Lonchura striata: one gene and its partner. The protein of the gene in region 1 purifies or fractionates together with the protein of each later gene. This does not show direct contact. Links are inferred from orthologs where the notes say so. Each region holds a gene or a part of one and is shown in the gene's direction. Other genes may lie near its edges.

What was found.
Region 2: the proteins of FNDC3A (region 1) and TENT5C purify together in Homo sapiens (affinity purification with western blotting; 3 studies listed by BioGRID, with this or other methods). This does not show direct contact. The link is inferred for Lonchura striata from reciprocal best matches to the Homo sapiens genes FNDC3A and TENT5C.

The regions. Positions count from the first base shown.
Region 1 is NC_134604.1:62,224,475-62,231,691, forward strand, and holds the start of FNDC3A (fibronectin type-III domain-containing protein 3A), read left to right. Parts: upstream 1-4,160; 5' UTR 4,161-4,269; intron 4,270-4,313; exon of another isoform or gene 4,314-4,422; intron 4,423-7,217. UniProt on the Homo sapiens protein: Mediates spermatid-Sertoli adhesion during spermatogenesis.
Region 2 is NC_134604.1:28,335,492-28,341,289, forward strand, and holds TENT5C (terminal nucleotidyltransferase 5C), read left to right. Parts: upstream 1-4,059; coding exon 4,060-5,235; downstream 5,236-5,798. UniProt on the Homo sapiens protein: Catalyzes the transfer of one adenosine molecule from an ATP to an mRNA poly(A) tail bearing a 3'-OH terminal group and enhances mRNA stability and gene expression.

The DNA.
Region 1 (7,217 bases):
TGAACAGCAGGTAAAGAAGACAAATCCACAAGTTGTGGATTTGTGTCCCTCAGTGTTTTGAGAAAAGCATGGTAAAATATATCATACAAGACTTACTCTACAACAAGTGTCAAAAACCAGTTATAGACATGGTTTTGCCAGTTGCTTGACATGGAATTTTATTATATGCCACTCCTCAATGTGTTTTGAGTTTTACTAGTTCACCAAATTATGTAAAAACACAGCTGATCATATCAATTAAATCTGAGATTTCCTTTTCCCACAAACACATATCTTACCATCGAGGTGAATCATACCTAGCATTAAACTGCTGTCAGCAAACCTTTATTTTGATAAAACATTCTGATATTAAAGTTGGATTTTTTACAGTTCAAAAGCCTTCATGCAAATCAGAAACCAGCAAATAGTTTATACTGATTGGCAGCCTCTTTGAAAGTAATTTGAACAAATAAAAGAATGCTTTGCAGCTCAGGTGAAGACACAGTATGCCCGATGACACCGAGGGATCAGTAACTCAATTTTGTAATCATAAAACTTTCTGCATTTTTTTTTTTTTTGCCAACACACCAAAATTAAACCTCATTCACCTTGCTATTATATACAGCAAGTTTACTTTCAGGGAGTTACAGTCATACATTAGTTACTTGTTTTAGAAAATAAGCACCAGCTGTATTTCTTTAATTGTTGTATATTGCACTGATGCTACTTATCTGGTAGAAGGCAGCGGCGCTACCGAACTCACGGCTTTCATAGCCCACAGTCCATCCAAGCTGCTCTCCTCTGGCCTGTGAGGCCCGGGTAAATGTTCCCACTAATGTCTTCAGGTGAGGTTTAGATGACAAACCTGTTCGTAAAGACACTGTAGAGTCTGACTGCAGGTCTGCTGATCTACATTTGGCTACCACTGCTCTTACAGGCTCAGCAAGCTGTGACAGCAGCAGAGCTGCCACTACGGAGAGAGGTCACCATTGTCCCTCCTGGCAGAGGTGCTAGAGGTGATTAGAAATTCAGCTAAATGTGAAAATGGGTTGTTCACTATGGAGGTGCATGCTGTGTGAGAAAGTTGCTGAACTCTCCAACTTAAGCCACGTTATTTTAACTTTAGAACTGGAGATTTTCCCCATTTAATATTGAATGCTTCATAGAATAACTTGGTTTTGAAGGGATCTTTAAAGATCTAATCCACTCCCCTGCAATAAGCAGGGACATCTTCAACTAGATCAGGCTTATTAGAGCTCCTTCCAACCTAGACTTAAATGTTTCCAGGGATGAGGCTTCTTGCAAGGATGGAGAGAATAGGAGGATTGGATCAAATGATGTAGGTCTCAAAACTATCATGAGTTGCTCAGTTCTGGTCCCAGCACCAGATTGCTACATGTTTTGCTGGATAAATACAACTCGAAGCAAACCTGAAATAATGACCATTGTAACACCAATTCTTCTCAGTTGTCTGAAGACAGTAACTTTGACTGAAAAAGTGAGAGCCAGAGAAGGAGGGCATTATGATACAGACTGTATTTTTGTATTTCTCTCCTCACCTCTCCTCTGCTGGATTTAGCTACAATATCAATTTCATAAATGTTCATCATTTGGATGTGTATCTGGTACATTTCTTTAAAGAAATTCTGTTGAATTGAAATAAATTGTGTTGAATGAGTCCTCCTGGGAAGTTCTGGAGTGAATGAAAGCAAGAGCATTTGGTCAATCATCTAGAAATACCTGAGAACCATGTAGGCAACTTAGGTTTGTAAATAATTCCAATCTAGTTTAGTTTAGGTTTAGAAAAATCCATTTATTCACAAGCCCCTAAAGAGAGACAAAGAGGTCTTTATGCTGGTTCCCAATGCCTTCCATCCACTTTTAGTACTATTCAGAATTATTTCTAGGTAACTTTAACCAGGTTTCCAGCAGAAAATGGAATTTCATATACACTTATTTATACACCTGTGAGCTAGAAAGGAAGAAAAAAGTGAAGGACTGTGCCATGTAGTGCAAACTTACACACCACCAGGACCAGAGTTTACATGGGGAGAAGAGCCTTAAACACTCTCATCTATCCCCTGTCCCAGCTCTAGGTTTGCATCCATACAACCAAAACACTGCACATATTTCTTGATTTTATCTGCAAGGGAAGAGCAGGGGAGGTAGCCCTGGGAAGCCAGGAGGAGGAATGAAGGAATTAATGGGTGGGAAGCCAGAAGGAGGAATGAAGGACGCTCCCTCACAGGGCTCTCAGCAGTGGGGCACATAAAATTGGTGCTGCATCATCAGTTGAAACTGGACAGTCTGACACAAAGCCAGGATCTGTGGCTGCCTACAGTGGTGCCCATGGCCACTGCTGTTCTTGGCCCCATTGCCACCAGTGAGTGGTGCCTGACACTGTGGAAACCCTTTGCTGTGTTCTGCCAAACTGCTGGAGAGCTCTGGAAAGCCATACTGAAACTGGAATAAGGCAGGAAAATCAGTGATCTTCCAACAGCTGTAACTGGCAACAATCTCCAGTTTATGCCCCTGAATGGAACGGCCCACTAATGCTGTGCAGTGGCATTTGTTCAGCCCTGACTCATAGACAGAAGACTGCCACTGAATGAATCACCAGCAGCATTTTCCGCAGTATCTAACGAGGTAGCTCATCCAAATATTGATCAGTCCTAAGTCTCTCTAGTTTTTGAGATCCGCGATATCACAGTCTAGTATGCTATTCACCATTCAAATTCTGCATTTGGGAAAGGGAGCTTGTAGTGAGAAGCCAGGTGATGACCAGACATTGGTTGGTGCATCCCTTGATAGGAGCTACTTTCTGCCTGCCATGAAGCTATCAAAACTATATGAACACTGCTGAAATGCAGGAGAAATAGGAACTTAGTAAGTTAATAACAGAGAGCTTTAAGGTAAATTAACCACTTTATAAAACATTTCATTTGGTTTGGTCCACTGCTGCAGAAGGTCATTAAGCCAAACACTAGTAAAATAATTTTGATCCATAATGACAGAAAGGACAAACATTAAGCAAAGGATAATCACAAATTAGCATTCAGGACACCAGCTGAACATTGCAGGTGTTGAGGGAAGATAGTTCCTCCCTGCACAAGTGCCAGGAAAAGCACATTTCTTACCCTTTCCTCTCTGATGGCAAACACTACATGCTTGGGCAGGAGGCAGGGGACACCTCAGGTGTTCACAGTCCTGCCCTCCTCAGCCTCTGCCCTTTGACTTTCACTGTGATAATGGCTGTACAGGAAACAGGCAACCCTTCACTCCACCCAGCATGAGCTCAGCCTGGGCAAACCCCATGGCTTGAGCTGCATATTACAGGAATTACTACTGCAGAAACCACGTAAAACAATGCACAAGAAGCAGTGCAAGTGCAGCAGTGACGCGGCTTTGGTGCCCAAAACACTTCCACAAAACAGTTCTGCCATTCCAAGTGATTACCATAACTGATGGAACCCAAAGTCATGGACTACATGAGCTCAAATAACATCTTATGGACATTTTGCAATGGTGGCCCATCGACTAATGGAATAACATCTGTGTATTTTATCAAAGTATGGGAAGAAGGGTGGTGGCTAGTGAGGTTGTATTGAATAGTATGAGGTCTGGCCATGGTATAAATGCTATGGTAAGGGGTGGAATATGTGCTGGGTGTGGCTGGGGTAGAGTTAATATGGGGCTGGTTTTGGGTTGGTGCTGAACAGAGGGCTGATAATGTAGAGACGTTTTTGTTATTTCTAAGCAGGGCATACACAAGCAAGCGCTGACCCCAGCCGCCGGTACAGGCTAAGGTCGAGGCCCCGGTACGGCGGACCCCCGAGCCCACAGACCCCGGTACAGCCCAGCCCCGAGCCCACAGACCCCACAAACCCCACAGACCGCACAGACCCCCACAGCCCTCCCCGGCCCCTTCCCGCCCCCCGACAGCCACGCCCTCACACGGCCCACGCCCTCACACGGCCCACGCCCTCACACGGCCCACGCCCCCACACAGCCCACGCCCAGCCACGCCCACACACATTGACCCCGCCCCTCCTCCGGCCCACGCCCCCGCCCTCCCGCACGGGAGCGCTCCGCGCAGGCGCACTGCGCGCCAGAGCTAACTGCCCCCTCGCGGCCCCCCCAGCCCTCCCCAAAGATGGCGGCCGCGCGCCGCCGGGCGAGGTGGCGGGTAGCGCTGCGGCGGCGGGGCGGGGGCGGCGGCGGGAGCGGAGGGCAGTGACAGCTGCCGGGAGGGCAGGAGGAGGCGGCGGAGCGGCGGCGGCCGGAGGGCAGGTACGTCGAGTGGGCGGGCCAAGGGGTGGGGGAAGCGCCGCCCCTGCCCGAGTGCGCCATCGGGAACTCCCCCTGGCGCTGCCCGCCTCGGCGCCGCTGCCCGCTGGCGGCGGAGCGCGGACCGTTAGCCGGGAGAGCCGCGGGGCCATGGCGGTGAGTAGGCGCTGATGGCGAACGGCCGCCTTCCCCTCCGCGGGGCGGCCGGAGGGGTGCGAGGGGACGGGGGCGGCGCCGCTGCCTGTCCCGGTGCCTGCCCCGGTGCCTGAGGAGCGGCGCTCCCCGCCGGGGAGGACCGGGAGCCGGCGCCACCGACAGAGCCCCGCGAAAGAAACTTTGTGTCTCGCTCCCCTCGGTCGCTCGGCGGTGCCTCCGCCGGCCGGGGCGCGGGATCCGCCCGCTGTCAGCGCCGGGCTGCGGCGCGGCGGCCGCGGGAGGAGGCGGTGGTTGAGCCGGAGAAAGAAGCAGATGCGGAGCGCGACCAGAACAGCTGAGCCGGCTGTGGCAGGCGGGGAGGAGAAGGCAGTGGTGGAGCTCGACACCCCTTTCTCGCTGTTGATGTTGTTGTTATTGTTGCCCTCCGCCTAAGCCGTAAAAGGTTCCCTCATACGCCCAGCTAAGGGGATTGAGCGTCTCTATGTAGATAAAAGTCTTCGCGAAAACACGGTCATCATCTTGCCGACTCCTAGCCGGAGGCATTATTCTTTCAGCCAGGTTTACTCCCGATTTCCCCCTCCCTGAATATCGCCCAACCTAAACAGAAACTTTTCGTTGCTTCCAGGCAACTTAGAAAGTGAAACCAACTAAAAGCAAAAATGAAACTTTTCAGCTGATTTTTATTGTGCGAAGTGAAGAAATTAAGCGGTAGAAACAAGAGAAAATGTATTTGGTAGGAGAAAATGTTATAAATGGCACCTCAAGATGTGTTAGTCATTTGTTTAACCCTGTCAAAGGCATTTTATTAGCCACCTTGCATGTCAAGCGTTATTCTAGAACATTTCACATTACGAAGTAATTCCTGTGAAATGTTCTTTGGTTTTAAAATTTCAGTCTGCATTTGATCAAATACATACCTGATTAGAAATGCCTTGAATTTTCAAGGAGACTTAAAATCTCTAAATTTTTTGCTGTTGAGTACTTGGCAGCTTCTGTCTCAGAAGCTGTAGGACCCAGTCCTGCTAAGCTTTCTGCTTTTAAGAAGCTATTTTGTTGTTATGGCAATGGGAAACTTTCTGCTTTATACAGTGTAGAAATTTAACTGATGTGAATTTGCATCCGTAGATGTGTTTATTTTCTGTGTTGTGAAATAGTGTGAGTCACAGCAAACCAGTGGTCCTTAAAATTCAAAGAGGATGATCAGTTACATTTTTTTCTGCCTCTTTTTTGTTTTTTAAGGAAATGGTCTCAAATAATTATGAAATTTAATCACATGATGAATGGGGAAGTAGCAAGCTGTCAGGTAGGGAGAAAGATGTACACACATGTGAAAGTCAGAGGTAGCTGAGTATCTCCAGCACTCAATGTTGGCAAATTAAATAGAGTTCTTGACAACCAGTGTTTCTGCTAAGCATGAGGGAGCAAGAAGGGTGCTGGTCAAGTTGGAAAACACATCTAATCTAGATTCACTCTGTACGCAAGTCATCTTGACAAGCATATACTGAATCTGGGAGTTGTTTATACAAACCACACCAGAATGATTTTTCTGGTGACTTTGGGGGAGAAGGTTGATGTGCTTTATGAGTTCCACAGGGATACTGGACACTGATTTTTAGCAGATGAAGCCTGGGTTAAGAGAGACAGAGATTCTTGTCCTCAGAAAGGCCAGGATTCAGTGATCTGTTGCTTAGCTCACTTGGTCAGGGGGATGAGCAATCGGCTTTGAGCAGAGTCACAGGCTGGCTACTGTAGATGATAATATTAAAACAGAATTAGGTAAGTGTCTCAGGTTTTTCTCAGGGCAAATGGAACTGTTCTGAGGCTTTTTACTATATGACAAGCTCTGGGTGTATGAGTTTCATGAGGGTCAGGTCATTACTCTGAACATTAGTTACCCGATTTCAGTCCATTAATGAGATTTCTACCTTTTTCAAGTTGGACTTTCTACTAGTTTGTGAACTTAGAACTCAAAAGCTTTAGATTTTTAGAGGCAGTGATGTAATGGAGCTGCAGAAACTTGGATTGTGATTTGGACTAGTAACTCATTTGCTTTGGGCTGTGAGTCCTGTAGATCTTGGGATGCTTTTCATTGTTTATCTTTGCCTCGTGGCCATTTGATTTTACGTGAACTGGACCTCCATCGGCTAACTCAGTGTTATTCTGATGATCATTTTGGCTGAAGATCTCAAAGAGATCCTTTAGAATTGTTATTGCAGCGTTAACTGCTTAATTGAACATGTTTCTGCAGTGTTCTGTCTTAGGACTTGAGAAAAATTCTTAAAGTCTGACTTGATGAGAGGTTCAATTTTTCATACTTGTCAGTACTTTCTCCTAGATGGCTTTAACATCTAAATACTTTTAGACAATGCCACAATCTCCCTTGCTGGCAGGTCACTTCTGCAATAGTGTATGCTGTTGTACATGTGTTGGTCTCTAGAAATACTGAATGCTGGGTAGGTGTTGTGTGCTGCTGTTCTGATTGTCTATTGATGGCACTGTGAGTGGCCAATCCTGTAACCCAGCTCCGTCCTCCTTTTGGGGTTGAACTGGCAAACATGCCATCTTGTTCATTCCCATACAGACAGATACCAGAGAAGACAGTTTTTGTGAGGATGCAGGCCTACTTTCTAGACAGTGTTGTCTGCATCCATTGATGTTCCTAGTCAGTGCCTTCTGGAACCTCAGGAATTCTTATCTTCTTCTAGCAACTTTGTATCTTTTTTTCACTTCTACTGTCTAATTGTTGTGGGATTTCTAGTTCAATCTCTGCTAGAATGTCTACAGATAGTGTCATG
Region 2 (5,798 bases), about 34 Mb from region 1:
TATTGGAGCAAAATAAATAATTATCTAACCCATCCCTATTCCTGTTCAGCTTTGGCTTTTTTGGTGAAACGAGGCAGGTCTGTTGTATTTGCTAGGCAAAAAGGAGCTTTCCCATTTCCTCATTCAAGGCCAGCTCCTCTCCATATATGTGCAGGTTTTAATTCATCTTTCTTGACTGTGTATGGCCAAACAGTATAACAGATGTAGTGGTGATTTTTTTTTTCCGTTGTTTTGTAAGTACTTTTTTTACTTCTGCTAGGATTATGTTCTGGCCTGTTCTAAGTTGTGTTGATTCCCCCCGCCCCGTTTCTATTGAGATCTGATTATCGTAACAAAAGGCAGATACCCCTGTATTGGATGAAACATTATGTTCTCAGCAGAAATTGTAACTTTTGCCCCCAGAATGATCTCGCACCCTGTGCTATTAACCACCAGCTGATTTTTATGACACTGCATCTCCAAATTGATTCCTGTCCAGCCATTCCATCATCCTTGTCTATGTGCGCAGAGCCTCCCACAGCCCATCAGCCGCAGTTTCCGGTAGCACACTGTTTCAGCACTGCTCCAACATCCTTGTGAGCCCATCCTTGCAGGTTCTGGATGAGTGCCTGGTTTGGCTGTTTCCAGTTAGGCACCACAGAGAACTCTTTGGCAGAGTTGGACGTCTGGGATCTCTGCTAACAGCTCTTCTGTCTGGGATAAGGTGCCTTCAGGAAAGCCCTGTTGTATTTCAGTCAGCCCACAGATTCACAGAACCAATTAGGTTGGAAAAGGCCTCTGAAGTCATCAAGTCCAACCTATGACCAAACACTACCATGTTGACTAGATAATGGAACTGAGTCTCATATCCAGTCTTCCTTTAAACAACTCCAGAAATGGTGACTCCATCATCTCCCTGGGCAATCCATTCCAATGTCTAATCTCCATTTCAGTGAAAAATTTCTTCCTAATGTCCAACCTGAACCTGCCACAGCTTAGGACTGTGTCATCTGTCACTGTTGCTTGGAAGAAGGGACTGATCACCACCCATCTACATCCTCCTTTCAGGCAGTTGTAGAGAGCAATAAGGTCTCCCCTGACCGTCCTTTTCTCCAGACTGAACAACCCCAGCTCATTCAGCCTTTCATCGTGGGACTTGTGCTCAGATCCTTCACCAACAACGTTGCTCTTTGGAGGCTCTCCAGCCCCGCAGTGTCCTTCCTGAAGGGAGGGGCCCTTTGAAAAGTTTGTATTTATCTACAGACTTTATACACAAGTATGCACTGACGTGGGGCTGGGCAGCTGGGCGCTGTGCGCGGAGCTCGCGGGGCTCCAGCGCTCGGGCGGCCGCCCCCGGCCGCTCCCGGCCCGGGCGCCGCGGCGCTCCCCGGGCGCGGCGCCGGCGGCCGGACCGCGGCCAGAGCCGCCCCCGCCGGCCGGGCGGGGCGGGCGGGCCGGGCCGGGCGGGGCGGGGCGGCCCTGCAGGGCCATAAAGGGCGGTCGCGGGCAGCGGCGGGGCCGGCGTGCTTGCTCGGGGCGAGCGGCGGGGCCGAGGTGAGCGGCGGGGCCGGGGCTCCTCTCCCCTCTGCGGGGCGGGCTCTCCCGGGAGCAGGAGCTCGGCAGCGCTCCTGTCGTGGATGCGGGTGTTGGAGGCGGAGGGAGCCGCAGCTCCCGTCCCCAGCGCCGCTGGGCTCCGCGGGACAGGCCCGGGGAATTTTTGGGTGTTGTGTTAAATTATATGTCTTATAGGAGAAAGTTGCTGCTGCAGGGTAACGCACCCCGTCGTGACCAAGGTGAAGGTGTGTAGTCCTCGCTCTTTTTTTGCTTCTGGTTTGAGTGATGTATTCAATGCTCTTTATGCTCGGTATTAAAGATATTTAGTGTTTCCTGCCTCCGTAGTGGTTTTCTTCCTAAGGACTGAGTATCTTCAGGTGTCCGATCTTGTGGAGGGAGTGGCTGGCAGTGAAGCAGGAGGCATGGGAGCTGTTAGCATCCCAAAATCACTGGAGTCGCTAGGAATCTGTTGTCACTAACATAAACCTTGCCGAGTAGGCAAACACTAGTGATTTGAGGGTGGGAGGTTTTGGAGGTTGATAGCCTGAGACTTAAATCCTCCACTGAACTGGAAACGAAGTACTTTGTCTTCTGCCCGCCAAGGGCAGCAATGTGCATTACCCTCCTAGGTGAGGGTCACCAAACAGAGCCAGGTGTGTATGGTGTGGTTGAAAGCGCTGGTCCAGGTCCTTTCTGGTCACTGGGTGAGATGCGTGTGTTTCTTGGCTGCAGAGAGGACTACAAATCTGAAGAAGGAGAGGGAATAGTTTTAGAGGCAGTAGCTGAAAGCATTTGCAGCTTCAGTTAGAAGTTGTGGGAAGACTCTTATGTTCTTTAGTGATCTGAGAGATTTAATAGAAATATAGTGAGTTCACTAAGGAAACATACTTTAATGTGCTCTCAGTTGCCTGAGAGCAACTGCTGGCAGGTTTGATGTGTTTGTGTTTATGCTGTGTTGGAGTATTAAAGATGAAGCTCAAAGAACCACTTGATTTGTCCTAGATTAATCATCTTGCAAATCAGAGGTTTGTTTCATACCTGCTGGTGCTGATGTGATCCATGGCAGAACAGTTTGTAATGCAGCAGCTCCTGCTTGAGGACAGAAGCTTCTTCCCTAGAGGGATTCTAACCTCACTGTTTACTTGCTCTGGGATTTGACTCTCTTCATCCAAAGAGGTGGCAGGTCGAATGAGTTGCTCAAAAATGAAAAGCTGAAAAAAGGGGATGTCTGAGATGACAATAGTTGTTCTTTGAAACTTGCTTTAATATGTTCCATGCACTGTGCTATTGCATGCCAGGAAACTATAGGGCTTGGTTTTTCCTTCTTGGTAGGCAAGAGTTAATTTTCTTAAGTTTGACTAGTCTGACCTTGGCAGCTGCAGTCTTCAGGAGTATTTGGGGCAGAAGAAGGTGAAGCCTCAATTAGTCTGTAGCTGTCAGGAAGCACCTGGCTACGCAGAAACCTGGAACACTTAAAAAAAGAAAAGGGTTTTAACACCAGTTTGAGTTGCATGACTGTAGAACATCTGTAAGTATCTCCATGCTACAATAGGCAAGTGACTTAAGGAATCTTGTCACAGCTAATCAGATCATTCTCTTGTGCTTAAAGTGTTTAGACAAGGCTGTGACCAAGTCTGGTTAGTGAGATTCTAGATGTTAAAAGAGAAACATGAACTTCTTATGCCTCATCTGAATTTATCGCAAATCTTACAGGCTTGTTTGCCCTTCATAAATGAGCAGACCTTGGGACAAGTATGAACATTTCCAGAAAGGTAGTTGGTTAGGCAGTGTCTCTGTAAGCAGCTCTTTACCCTTCTTCAAAGACTGGAGTGCCTATTGAATGCTGTTACCCGAGTTTGCAGCTGAAATTCTGTCCAGGATGTTCAAGAGCTGCAGCTTTTTGCAGGAGCAACTTGTACTTGGCCTTTATCCTGTGAGTGATAGATGCTGGATCATTTAGAAAGGAAAGTGTTCTATGTAAAGGAAGAAATCTTGTATCTTTGACATAATTTAAGAGTTATCAGTGGACTGGATGTCTAAGCTCTGAAACTAACACCTGAGGGTGTTCTGCAGTTGTGTTAGTTGGAAACAGCAGTTTGAGCTTTATATGCATCATGAAACAACTTCAGAGCTTAACTCTCTGAAGTGCTTTGCAGCTCATCTCACTTCTGCTGGTGCTGCTGAGGACTTTAGCCTTAGTTTGTGTCATCTTTGGTAATTTCCATTTGGCACAAACTACTTTCCTGAACTAACTCTACCTCACCAAAAAAAAAAACAAACCCAAAGGCAACCCATTTTTTTTTTTTTTGCCTGCACCAATAGTAAAGCTGTGTCTCATTTCAGAAGAAAGGATTGCTGGTAGTCATTAATACATAGAGTTATTTCTGTCTAGTTTGTGTCTGTGCGAGTGAACAGAAAAACAGAGCCTAGGAGTAGATCTAGGAAGCACAAAAAGAAACTCTGACTTGTCTTTTTCTTTTTATATTCTACCTCCATACAGTTTCTTTGGAGAAGAAAAGCCCAAAGATGGCATGCAAAGGAAGTAGCAGAGCAGACTCCATGTCCTGCAGTGTCTTGAACTGGGAGCAGGTCAGCCGCCTGCACGAGGTTCTTACAGAGGTGGTTCCCATCCACGGGCGGGGGAACTTCCCGACGCTGCAGATAACTCTGAAGGACATTGTTCAGACGGTCCGGAGCCGGCTGAGCGAAGCAGGCATTGTGGTCCACGATGTCCGTCTGAATGGGTCTGCAGCTGGTCACGTCCTGGTCAAGGATAATGGGCTGGGATGCAAAGACCTGGATCTCATTTTTCAAGTTTCTCTTCCAAGTGAGGCAGAGTTTCAGTTAGTTCGAGACGTGGTCTTGCGTTCCCTCTTGAATTTCCTGCCGGAAGGAGTAAGCAAGCTGAAGATCAGTTCTGTAACACTGAAGGAAGCCTACATCCAGAAGCTGGTCAAAGTGTACACAGAGACTGACCGCTGGAGCTTGATATCACTTTCCAACAAGCATGGCAAAAATGTGGAGCTTAAGTTTGTAGACTGCATACGGCGGCAATTTGAGTTTAGTGTAGACTCGTTCCAGATCATTCTGGACTCCCTGCTCTTTTACTATGACTACTCGGAAACCCCCATGTCGGAGCACTTCCACCCAACTGTGATTGGGGAGAGCATGTACGGAGACTTTGAAGCAGCTTTTGATCACCTCCAGAACAAGCTGATAGCTACCAAAAATCCTGAAGAGATCAGAGGTGGTGGGCTGCTGAAGTACAGTAACCTCTTAGTACGAGACTTCCGGCCCATGGATAAGCGCGAGATCAAAACGCTGGAGCGCTACATGTGCTCCCGATTCTTCATTGACTTCCCAGACATCCTGGATCAGCAGCGCAAGCTGGAGACCTACCTGCAGAACCACTTCTCCAAAGAGGAGAGGAGCAAGTACGACTACCTCATGATTCTGCGCAGGGTGGTGAATGAGAGCACCGTCTGCCTCATGGGGCACGAGCGAAGGCAGACTCTCAATTTGATTTCTCTGCTGGCACTCAAGGTGCTGGCAGAACAGAATGTCATCCCTAATGTCACTAATGTGACCTGTTATTACCAGCCAGCACCTTATGTCAGCGATGCAAACTTCAGCAACTACTACCTTGCTGGTGCCCCTGTGCTGTACAGCCAATCCTACCCCACTTGGTTGCCTTGCAATTGATCGCTTCCCTCGAGTGCTCCTGGCTGGAGGCTACTGAAAGCCACAAGTGTAATTATAGACAAGTAATAAGTGTCAGTTGGATGTTCTCTAATGGAAACTTGACTGTATCAGACTGTCCATTTCCTGGTGTGCAGTGGGATTATGCAGCCAGGTGACCTGCTATGAATCTTTGAGTATCTCTACAAATGCCAAAAAGCCTTATTACCTCTTCATCGGGAGGAGAGAACCAGCAGCCAAATGTTAAGAGGAGCAGTTAAGAAACTTTGTACTAGCTCTGGAAGTGGCTGTTAACATGGGATCTAAGTGGAGTATTCAGTAAACTGGGTTGGTTAATTGACTGTAAAATGCCTTAAGCAGAAACTGCTCTTGGAGTAGCAGCAAAACACTGCTTTCTATTTCCTAACCTCATTATTCTTCCTCAGTCCAAGTTCTGGCCAAATTTCTCTTGAACTAATTGTGCCAAGACTGGGCTCATGTTATTCTTGGGTTGCTTTCACTTTGTGTCTTTGTAAAGCTGGTAACAGTGTGAATACTGTCTGTCTTGTAGAGGACATAAATGTTGT